Solanum lycopersicum: one gene and its partner. The protein of the gene in region 1 interacts with the protein of each later gene in a pairwise test. Links are inferred from orthologs where the notes say so. Each region holds a gene or a part of one and is shown in the gene's direction. Other genes may lie near its edges. The genes, in order: guanine nucleotide-binding protein subunit beta and guanine nucleotide-binding protein subunit gamma 1.

What was found.
Region 2: the proteins of guanine nucleotide-binding protein subunit beta (region 1) and guanine nucleotide-binding protein subunit gamma 1 interact in a two-hybrid assay, tested with the Arabidopsis thaliana proteins (2 studies listed by BioGRID, with this or other methods). The link is inferred for Solanum lycopersicum from reciprocal best matches to the Arabidopsis thaliana genes AGB1 and AGG2.

What each region holds. Positions count from the first base shown.
Region 1 is NC_090800.1:92,558,632-92,563,008, reverse strand, and holds the start of guanine nucleotide-binding protein subunit beta, read left to right. Parts: upstream 1-1,297; 5' UTR 1,298-1,589; coding exon 1,590-1,695; intron 1,696-1,774; coding exon 1,775-1,869; intron 1,870-4,332; coding exon 4,333-4,377. Other genes in the region: glucan endo-1,3-beta-D-glucosidase, read left to right, coding at 62-99. UniProt on the Arabidopsis thaliana protein: Guanine nucleotide-binding proteins (G proteins) are involved as a modulator or transducer in various transmembrane signaling systems.
Region 2 is NC_090808.1:66,085,497-66,090,040, forward strand, and holds the start of guanine nucleotide-binding protein subunit gamma 1, read left to right. Parts: upstream 1-1,519; 5' UTR 1,520-2,149; coding exon 2,150-2,266; intron 2,267-4,544. UniProt on the Arabidopsis thaliana protein: Guanine nucleotide-binding proteins (G proteins) are involved as a modulator or transducer in various transmembrane signaling systems.

The sequences.
Region 1 (4,377 bases):
TTAACTACCCTTGTCTTTATGTCAATAAATAACATTTTGTCTTCTTCTTTCTTTTTCTTAGGTTACAATGGCTGTACTTATCCTGGTGGCAACTTATAACGCAAAGCATCTAAATATATTTTATTATGATGGAGTAGTTTATGTAACTAAAAAAATTGGTCGATAAATAATCCCATCTACCCCCTTTTTCCTTTTGCTAAAATGATCAGGATTGTCTTCGAAGAAGAACTATATAAATTTGAAGTGTATAGTTCCTTAATACTATCATTTTCTTTCCAAACAACATATCCCGAGTAATGCAGTTGGATTAAAGATAGTGGGGTATTGGCAGACCATTGGAAACATCCGATATAGTTTATTTTTGTTCTCAGCTTCAATTTGTTTGATAAATTTGACACTACTCTTTAAAGTTGTATTCTATTAACCAAATTAAAACTTGTATTCGTGATCCATGAAATCTATTTTTCAAACTCAAGCAAAAAGTAAAAATTTAAAAGAAAACGAAGTAAATTAAAAACTTGTAATCGTGATCCATGAAATTATAAAACAGTAGTCTTGCTATTTGCTTGAAAATAATTATTTATATAATAAAAGATACCAGACATGAGTTTTTGTAGTTGCCAAATCCCATAGACCACCATTTATATATTTGCAACCATATTTCATATAGAATTCTAGGGTAATAAATTCACGTGTTTAGCATAAATAAATCACACAATAATTAACGGTTGAGGATAGAACTGAGATTTACTTGGGAGAAGCAATCAATGTTAAAAAGTCTAGACAAGTTGACTCAATCTAAGGTCACAAAAGTAATAATTTCGAAAATAAAAAAACAAATATTTTAGGACAAAGCCCCTTCTTCACTTTAAAATATATTTGACTTTAAATTGAATTATATATGTATATAATTTTATATAACTGTATTTTATATATATACATTTATATAAATGGAAGCGAGATCGGGAGAGGGAGGTGGGAGGTGAGAGGCGAGCGAGATTGAGAGAGGGAAGAGAGAGGCGAGTAAAAAAGGGCAGAGAGGTGAATTGTACATGTATATAGACTAAACAATTGTATATTATACATATTTATTTGTATATCCACGCGCATTATACATATACAAACATAAATATTATATAAAATCTAAGTCAGTTCACATAATTAATATATCATGTTAATATCAAATGATAATTATAACAAACTATAGTCATGATGAGTAATTAAATAATATAAATTTGCTTATCCGCATAATTTTCCCATAAAATAAATCATAATACTATAATAAAGAAATACTCTCAGTTCTCTTTTGGGCCGGAAGCCCAAAGAGGACTCATTAGTCGCGGTCAATGAAGTCATGTGGACCCCACAAGAACACGTCATGTACAGCGGTGGGCCCGACGGCTATCAGTCAAACAGCTCTCTGTAAAAGGCTGAAACCACCCTCACACCACCACCAACTTCCGTGACTCGCCGCTGTCTCAGCCACTCTTTCTCTCTCCTCTTTCTCTTTCTTCTTCAAAAACCCTAATCCAAGCAAAAAATAAAATCTTGCAATTTTGTGAAAATTATGTTTCAATTTCCTTAAGGAAATGTCAGTTGCGGAGCTGAAAGAGCGGCACATGGCCGCCACACAGACTGTAAATGATCTCCGTGAAAAACTTAAGCAGAAGCGTCTCCAATTACTCGACACCGATGGTAAGTTCTTTCTTATTTGAAGCTGTTTCCGTAACTATTCCAGAGATCTTGATTTTTTTTTTATTTTCTTTTTTCGCAGTTTCTGGGTATGCAAAGACGCAAGGTAAAACTCCGGTAACGTTCGGCCCAACAGATCTGGTTTGTTGTAGGATCCTGCAAGGACACACTGGAAAGGTTAGATACTTTCTCCATCTTTTTTGAATTTGAGATTCAAATTTATATAACGAAATTCATGCTTTCTTTCTTACAATTTATATGTATATACATACGGATTGTTTGTTTGATCGATTACTTTCACGACTTAAACTCAAATTTGTTTAATTATATTCTAATTCTTGAATCTTGATGAAAAATTAACTCAAATTCGTTTAATTATATTCTAATTCTTGAATCTTGATGAATATTGAAAAAAAGTTCTTGAATCTTGATATGATTTTTTGTTTATGAAACCAACTTTTTAATATATATTTTCTGTGTATTTTTCTACCTTTGCTAATGAAATGAACAAGCTAGATTAAGATCTTGAGCTTTGCAGTCAATCAAACACCATCATATTGAGTTCAGGACGAGAATTTGAGACCATGGATTTTTGTCTTTTTGGTCTATGGCTGGTCCTGTTAGCATGTTTAACCGTTAACAATGCAGTAAAGCGAGTACATTTTGAAAGTCTTACTGCTATCGTAGGCCCCCTAACAAGTACGAAGCTAGCACAAACTCTTTTTGAACTGTGCATGCATGAATTTAGTGTAAGGGCTGAGCAAGTTTATGTTTTTAACTACTCTATTCTTCAAGGTGTGGTTGTTATATGAGTATTAACTGTCACCTCTTTTCTTTCTTTAGTCTGCTTTACTCCCTTCTCACATTTCCCTTCAGTAGACGAGTAATTGCTGGGTGCACGAGGTAATTGGTTCTTGAAGTAAAATCGACAACTATTGTATGATTGGAAGTGACTAAACCTAGTACATTGTGACTATTGTTACTTGACAAAGTGTCAATTGAATTTTATTCTCAAAGTCAAAACATAACATGGCGACAAAATAATTCTTAGAAATAATAAACAACAAGTTAAAAAGTGGAGGCACAGAGCAGTAGAAGAAGATCAAATCAACAAGAGCAGAGTTGGTTAATTAGTCCTTGACAAGGGTCTAACATAGTTGATTGTAATCTATTGTTTTCAACTTGAATGATGCATTATATTCCCTCCGTTTCAATTTGTTTGTCTAGTTTTGACTTGACACGTAGTTTTAGAAGTATAGACGGCTTAAACAGAGGGAGTACGTGTATGGAAGGATGTTGCTTAGTCACTAATATGTGCCACCTAAAAACTTGGACACTAGGAAAGCATGATAACTATCAAATCAAGCTAACATCTAACTAGCTGTTAGCCAGTGTTTTGGAAATCAATAAGTGAAAAAAAGCAACGACTGCTCGCTTCAATGAAGTGTGAAGTGAAGGCATGGTTTTTTTTTTAACTAAAGCACGATTTAATACGAAATTAGGTAATATTAAATTCATATAGATAAATGACCAAGAACTCAATAGGAGTCAATAATCCTCATAAAATAGTAAAACTAGATAGTCAGTTAACTTTGTCTCAAAAAATAATCCTCATAACATGTTAAGCAATTTCAGAACCAAATTCATGGAACCCTAGACGAAAATGATAGTTATCTATTAGAAGCCAATTCTTAACCAAATTCATGAAACCCTAGACAAATTCTTAACCAAATTCTAGATGCAAATGTTTTACTCTTCCTGTTCTTCTTATATAATTCCAAAAGAAGTAGAGAAGAAGAGAAATTTGGAGAGGAAGAGTTTAACATTTTCGTGTAGGTTTTCATGAAAATTTAAAGAGGAGAGGAGAAGAGACAAGAAAAGATTAAGGGACGAAGAGAAGAAGATAAGAAATAACATTGCAACACTAGAATTAGAGGAGAAAAGAGCAGCAAATCCGAGTAGCAGCAGCAGGAAAAAGATGTGTAAGACTCTGTTGCAATGGTTTTAAAACTAGACCTAGAATTAACCCTAATTTCATTGAAAATTTCCAAAAATCTCGCTTTTTTCGCTTAAGGATGCTTCACGCTTCAGGCACTTCTTGCTGAGACGCACACTTTTCTTTTCTAGCCTTGCTTCAGGGCATAAAGTGCTCTTCCCCACATCTTGCCTGATCTTAGTTCACGCTTTAAGCACTGAAGCGAGCGCTTTTAATTTCACTGCTGGAAGCTGTTACGGAAACTAGTTGGTTTTTTTGAAGAGGCAGCTATAAGACATAGCTATTACAATGTGAAAGATCAAAAATGACAATCCACCTGTGGAGAGACTAAAGCAAGTAATTAAGGAATCATCATACTCATGAACTACCCAACTGCATAACACCAAGTACCGGTACTCACTAAATTGAGTGAGAATACTTTATTAATCATACTTGCTCATTAGTTTTGCTTCTTTATGTGCATATAATATCCTCTAAAAACTTTGTTGATGTATTAATGGAGAGACCATTGCAAGTAAATAAGGGAACATCATATACATTATAAATTATGGCAACTTAGTTGATGTATGTTGGAGATCATGATATAGGGGTATTACTTCGTAACTGTGAAGTTGTATTACCAATTTTTTAAAAATATTTTGCAGGTCTATTCACTGGACTGGACTCCTGAAAAAAATCGTATAGTTAGT
Region 2 (4,544 bases), on another chromosome or scaffold:
AATTAATGTGTTGAACAGAGTTTCGATTAGATACTTAGATTTATTATAAGACTTAAATTTACGAATTCTGATAAATTTTGAAAAAGATTTCAAATATGATCGCATTATTATTTATTTGTTTCTTTTCCTCTTTACGCTAATAGAATTGTTGAATGTAAACGTGTACACGTGATAAATATCAAATATGGGCAAGAAAATATTCTGGAGGTAATTTATTTATACCAAAAAAAAAAAGCAGAAAAAAACTTGTCTTCACTAAAAATGGAAAAAAATAAATTATTTTCCTCCCACAGAAAATAAATCCCATGTGCTCCTCTCTGCCAGCTTTGGGAGCTTCTTTTATCTTAATTGAAGATAACTTAAATTAATAGCGATATATAATCTATTTAATAATTTTTCATTAAGTGAAATTTGAAAAAAAAATTAAAAGTATATTACAGTGCAAAGTCTCACACTATATTACCTTAGCACTGTATGTTAAGTTAATTCCTATTAGTCATTTGGTTTTAAAAAAAAATTTCAAAAAAAGTTTGAAAAAAAATATGAATAAAGAAGTTAGATGAATTTAAAATAATTAAATTCAACAATTAAAAAAAAACAAAAACTTAGGTTAGCATACCGTATGAATTTAAATATTTCATGTTCTGTCGATTCATTTTCATCTAACATTTTTTAACTCATCGTACCTCTAATAACATCCATCATTGTCATTCATGTATACATTTTTATTGAACGCTTATTTCCTTTGTAATATTAACTTGAATCACTTTGTATTTTTAGTGAGATAATTTCCAATTATATAAATATCTAAATTTTATATTATACTACAAATACAAAGTTAAGTTATTTCCTTTCCTAATTTATCTTTTCTTTATTTTTATCGTTTACAAGCAAGATAAGATTAATGATCTTTTATTTGAAATGTAACGTAAAAAAAAATGATTTGTTGTAAACCAATGATTTAATCAATAAATTATTTAAATCTCATAATTAATTAAATAATATTACCTAAATTAGGATAAATAAACTTTTTTGTATATATATAAATTATAATTTCTCTCCTATATAAATCAATATAGATGGTACTGATATTGATTTATATTGTAGCTTACTGTTGAGGGTGACAAATCAGTGTTTCAACTTCCAAGTGCTCAGTAGTTGAACTCAACAGTGGGTTCTTCCCTTTAACCTTCTTGACACTCATTTGAAGTGGAGTTAAAAACTCAAATACGGAATTCAATTATCTTTATTCAAATGATATAATTTATAATAAAGAGTACACTAAATAATATATAAGGGCATACTTATGCATTATTCCTTATAAAAAATTAAAGTTCAAAAAATTTAAACTCTAATTTTGCGAAAGACTTCCCTTATCCTGTTCAATCCTCTTAGTATTTTAAAATTGGAGTTTGAACTATAAATTCAACTGTTAGCTCATTTTTCTTTTTAAGAAGTATACTAAATATAGAATTTAACGGTATAATAATACTATTTATAAAATTAAAATTCTGATTTCACGTCACAAACAGCTACTTTCAAACCACAATAACCCAAACACAAGCAAAAAGAAAAAAGAGACAAAAAAAGGAAGAATATTTTTGTAAAGTAAAATAAGTGAAAAAAGATTACCAACTTTCTCATTATTCAAAAAAGAAAAAATAATTTAAAAACCAAAAAAGCCAACTTTCCTTTTTGTTTTTTTTTTCTTCTTTTTTGGTTTCATCTTTCTTCTTTGTTCTTTCTGTTTTGCCTATCCCTTGGAACATTTCAATTCACTTTGTAGAACAACAAAACAAAAGTAAACCCCCCACCCCACTTCTACTACCCCCACTTTCTGCATTGTCTCTTCGATTGTCCATTTCTTGTTCTGCAGAAACTGCTAAAACCCTTTTTCTGGTTTCTTGAACAGTTCCAGAATCTCAATTTTTTTTTGTTTTTTAATGAAAATTGAGTGTTCTCTTGATTCTTTTTCCAAATGGGGTTTTTTGTTTTTAGTCTTTGAATAGTTACAGAATCTCTGGCTTCACTTGCACGATTTTGATTCTTTGGGGATTTGTTTTTTCGTATAAAATGAAGTTCTTTCCTTTTTTTGGTTTTTGAACTTTTCTGATTCTATAGGTATTTGGGTTTTGATTAATTGTGAGAAATGCAATCAGAGAGCTCAGAACAGGTGAGATCGGTTGTGGCAGCAGCTGATACTAGAGGGAAGCATCGGATATCTGCTGAATTGAAGAGACTTGAGCAGGAAACTCGTTTTTTAGAGGTTCTTCTGATGTCTCTTATTAACTTTTTTGTTTTGTTGCTTAAAAATTGTCTGTTTTTTCTGGTTTGCTGAATATGGTTGTTGTGAATTTGATATGTATGAGGAAAAGTTTGAATCTTTCTTCAAAGGGGGTGTTGTGTTGTATTGGTACACAGTGCAGATAGGAGTAATGAATGATGTTAAAAAAAAGGGATTTATCGTTATATGTGTTTGGTAATATGTGAAATGGATTGACCATTAACTGAAAAAAAAGAGCTTTTCTTTACTTTCAATTCTGAAAAGAGGGGCTTATTCACCTTTTTGGTTGAGTTAATGTACCAATGAGCTATTTCATCTTCTAGCACACACTTTCATAGTGTGGTTTACCTCTCCTGTGTGGTTTCCGAGCTGTTGTGAGGTTTACCCTGTGGTCACCCAAGGAGTAGTGGCTGTGAAGTCCCTTGTCATAGAAAAATGAGCTATTTCATGTTACATATCTGATTAAAGTTCTTGAGTCGTGGAAGTGTGAGGGTGTATGTCCCCTTTCATTTCATTTTCGATGTAGTAGGGAGAGTTCATTTGAGTTTTGAAGTGAAATCTTATTGTTTTTGAGAGTTCGAATAATAATTATTTGAATATGTTTTGGACTTGGCATGGAGTTTTTACCGAGAGCCTATAAACCTGTTGAAAATAGGACATTTAGGGCTCACTGATGTTTCATTGGAAACCAGTATCGAACTTCAACCATGAATTCTGGCCATCTAAAAAACTGCTGCACAGACTGCACAATATTACATGTTATTGTTTGAAATGCCTTTCTATTTGTGTTGCTTAAAAGTTTTTGAAGGCTTGATTTGCAACTATATATAAAAAAGACTGTTGATATTGTACCTGATGAGGCATTAACAGGTATCCCCTTTTTATAAACATCTGAAATCAGAAGAATATAGTGAACATTGTTTCAGTCCATTATGGAGTTGTTAGTTGAACACTGGAAGTCCTTACTTATTTGATGTTGGAGTGGGAGGAAGAAAGAGACGGTAGGGCAGGGGGGTGGGGTGGTACAAGGAAAATAGAAACCTGGAGTAGGAAAAGTATCATCGGACCACAAACCAATCAAAGTAATTAAACTGAGTTGCTTCACTGCCAGAAAACAAAATAAGCTGTTCTGTTATTTTGGCTTTTCCTGATTGTGAATTTTGTTGTTTATTATGGGAAACAGTGGTGGAGCTAGGATTTTTAATATATCTGGAGTCAAAATTCTAAAGGAGTAGACCTACGAAGAAGTTAAGGGGAGTCAATATGTACTATATATCCATAAAAAGGAATTTTTTTACCTAGCTACACAGTGGAATCTTCTTCTTCGTCACCCCTGGAATACATGTGGAGGAGATTCCGAGATATAAATGCAAATATTTGAAGATTTTGTGGTGGTTGGGGGTATCTAGCTGTGAGGATTTCTAAAGCAGACAAATTTTCATGGTCATCGGATTATATATGGAAGGAGACAGATACTAGAATCTTCTCTAACTGTGCAATTAGAATCTTTGTTTTTTGACTTTTGCTTCTTGACATGAGTTTGTAGCTTCACTCCTTTAATCATTTCATTATCTCTGAGAAAGGTCTAGAATATTTTACTCCTTCAGGCTTCGTCCTTTTTTATATGGAAAGACTTGATTGAACATTGTAAATAAGATGTTAATTTTGACTTGCAACTATATTACTGCTTCTGGAGAAAACATGAATTTAATAGAAAAACATTACATCAAAGTTTAAAATTTAAACCACTTTATCAATTTGAATTCTTGAAAATTGTGAAAGCTGTACAAAAACAGAATGGTATCAATCATGATTAGACGTCATAAGAATGAGTAAGATAGAGTAATAATTTGAACTTAAATGTCTGGTAATGCTCATAAATATTAGTTCGTAGAGTGATTAATTATCACTCACAAGTAGCATTTCGATGTGATTCATATATATTGACTTTCGAAACTTTTTCTCTAGAAATTGACCCAATCTTATCAAATTACATCTCTTTTAGCATGGTTGGAGGTGTAGGTATCTAATATGTCTGCCAATGTGCTGAGGAGGGGGGTTGTGTGTGTTGATGTGCGCACAATCTGTCCAGGATACCACCACTATAAAAAATAAAATGTGAGCTTACGCTGATGTTTTTGTGAGCTGTAAGGTGTTACCTTTATGAATATTTGACCTAGTCTTAGTTCATAGTTGCTTAAATTAATTTTACGTCCCTGTGATCTTACACATCAAACTTGGGAAATAGAACATGTTGAGA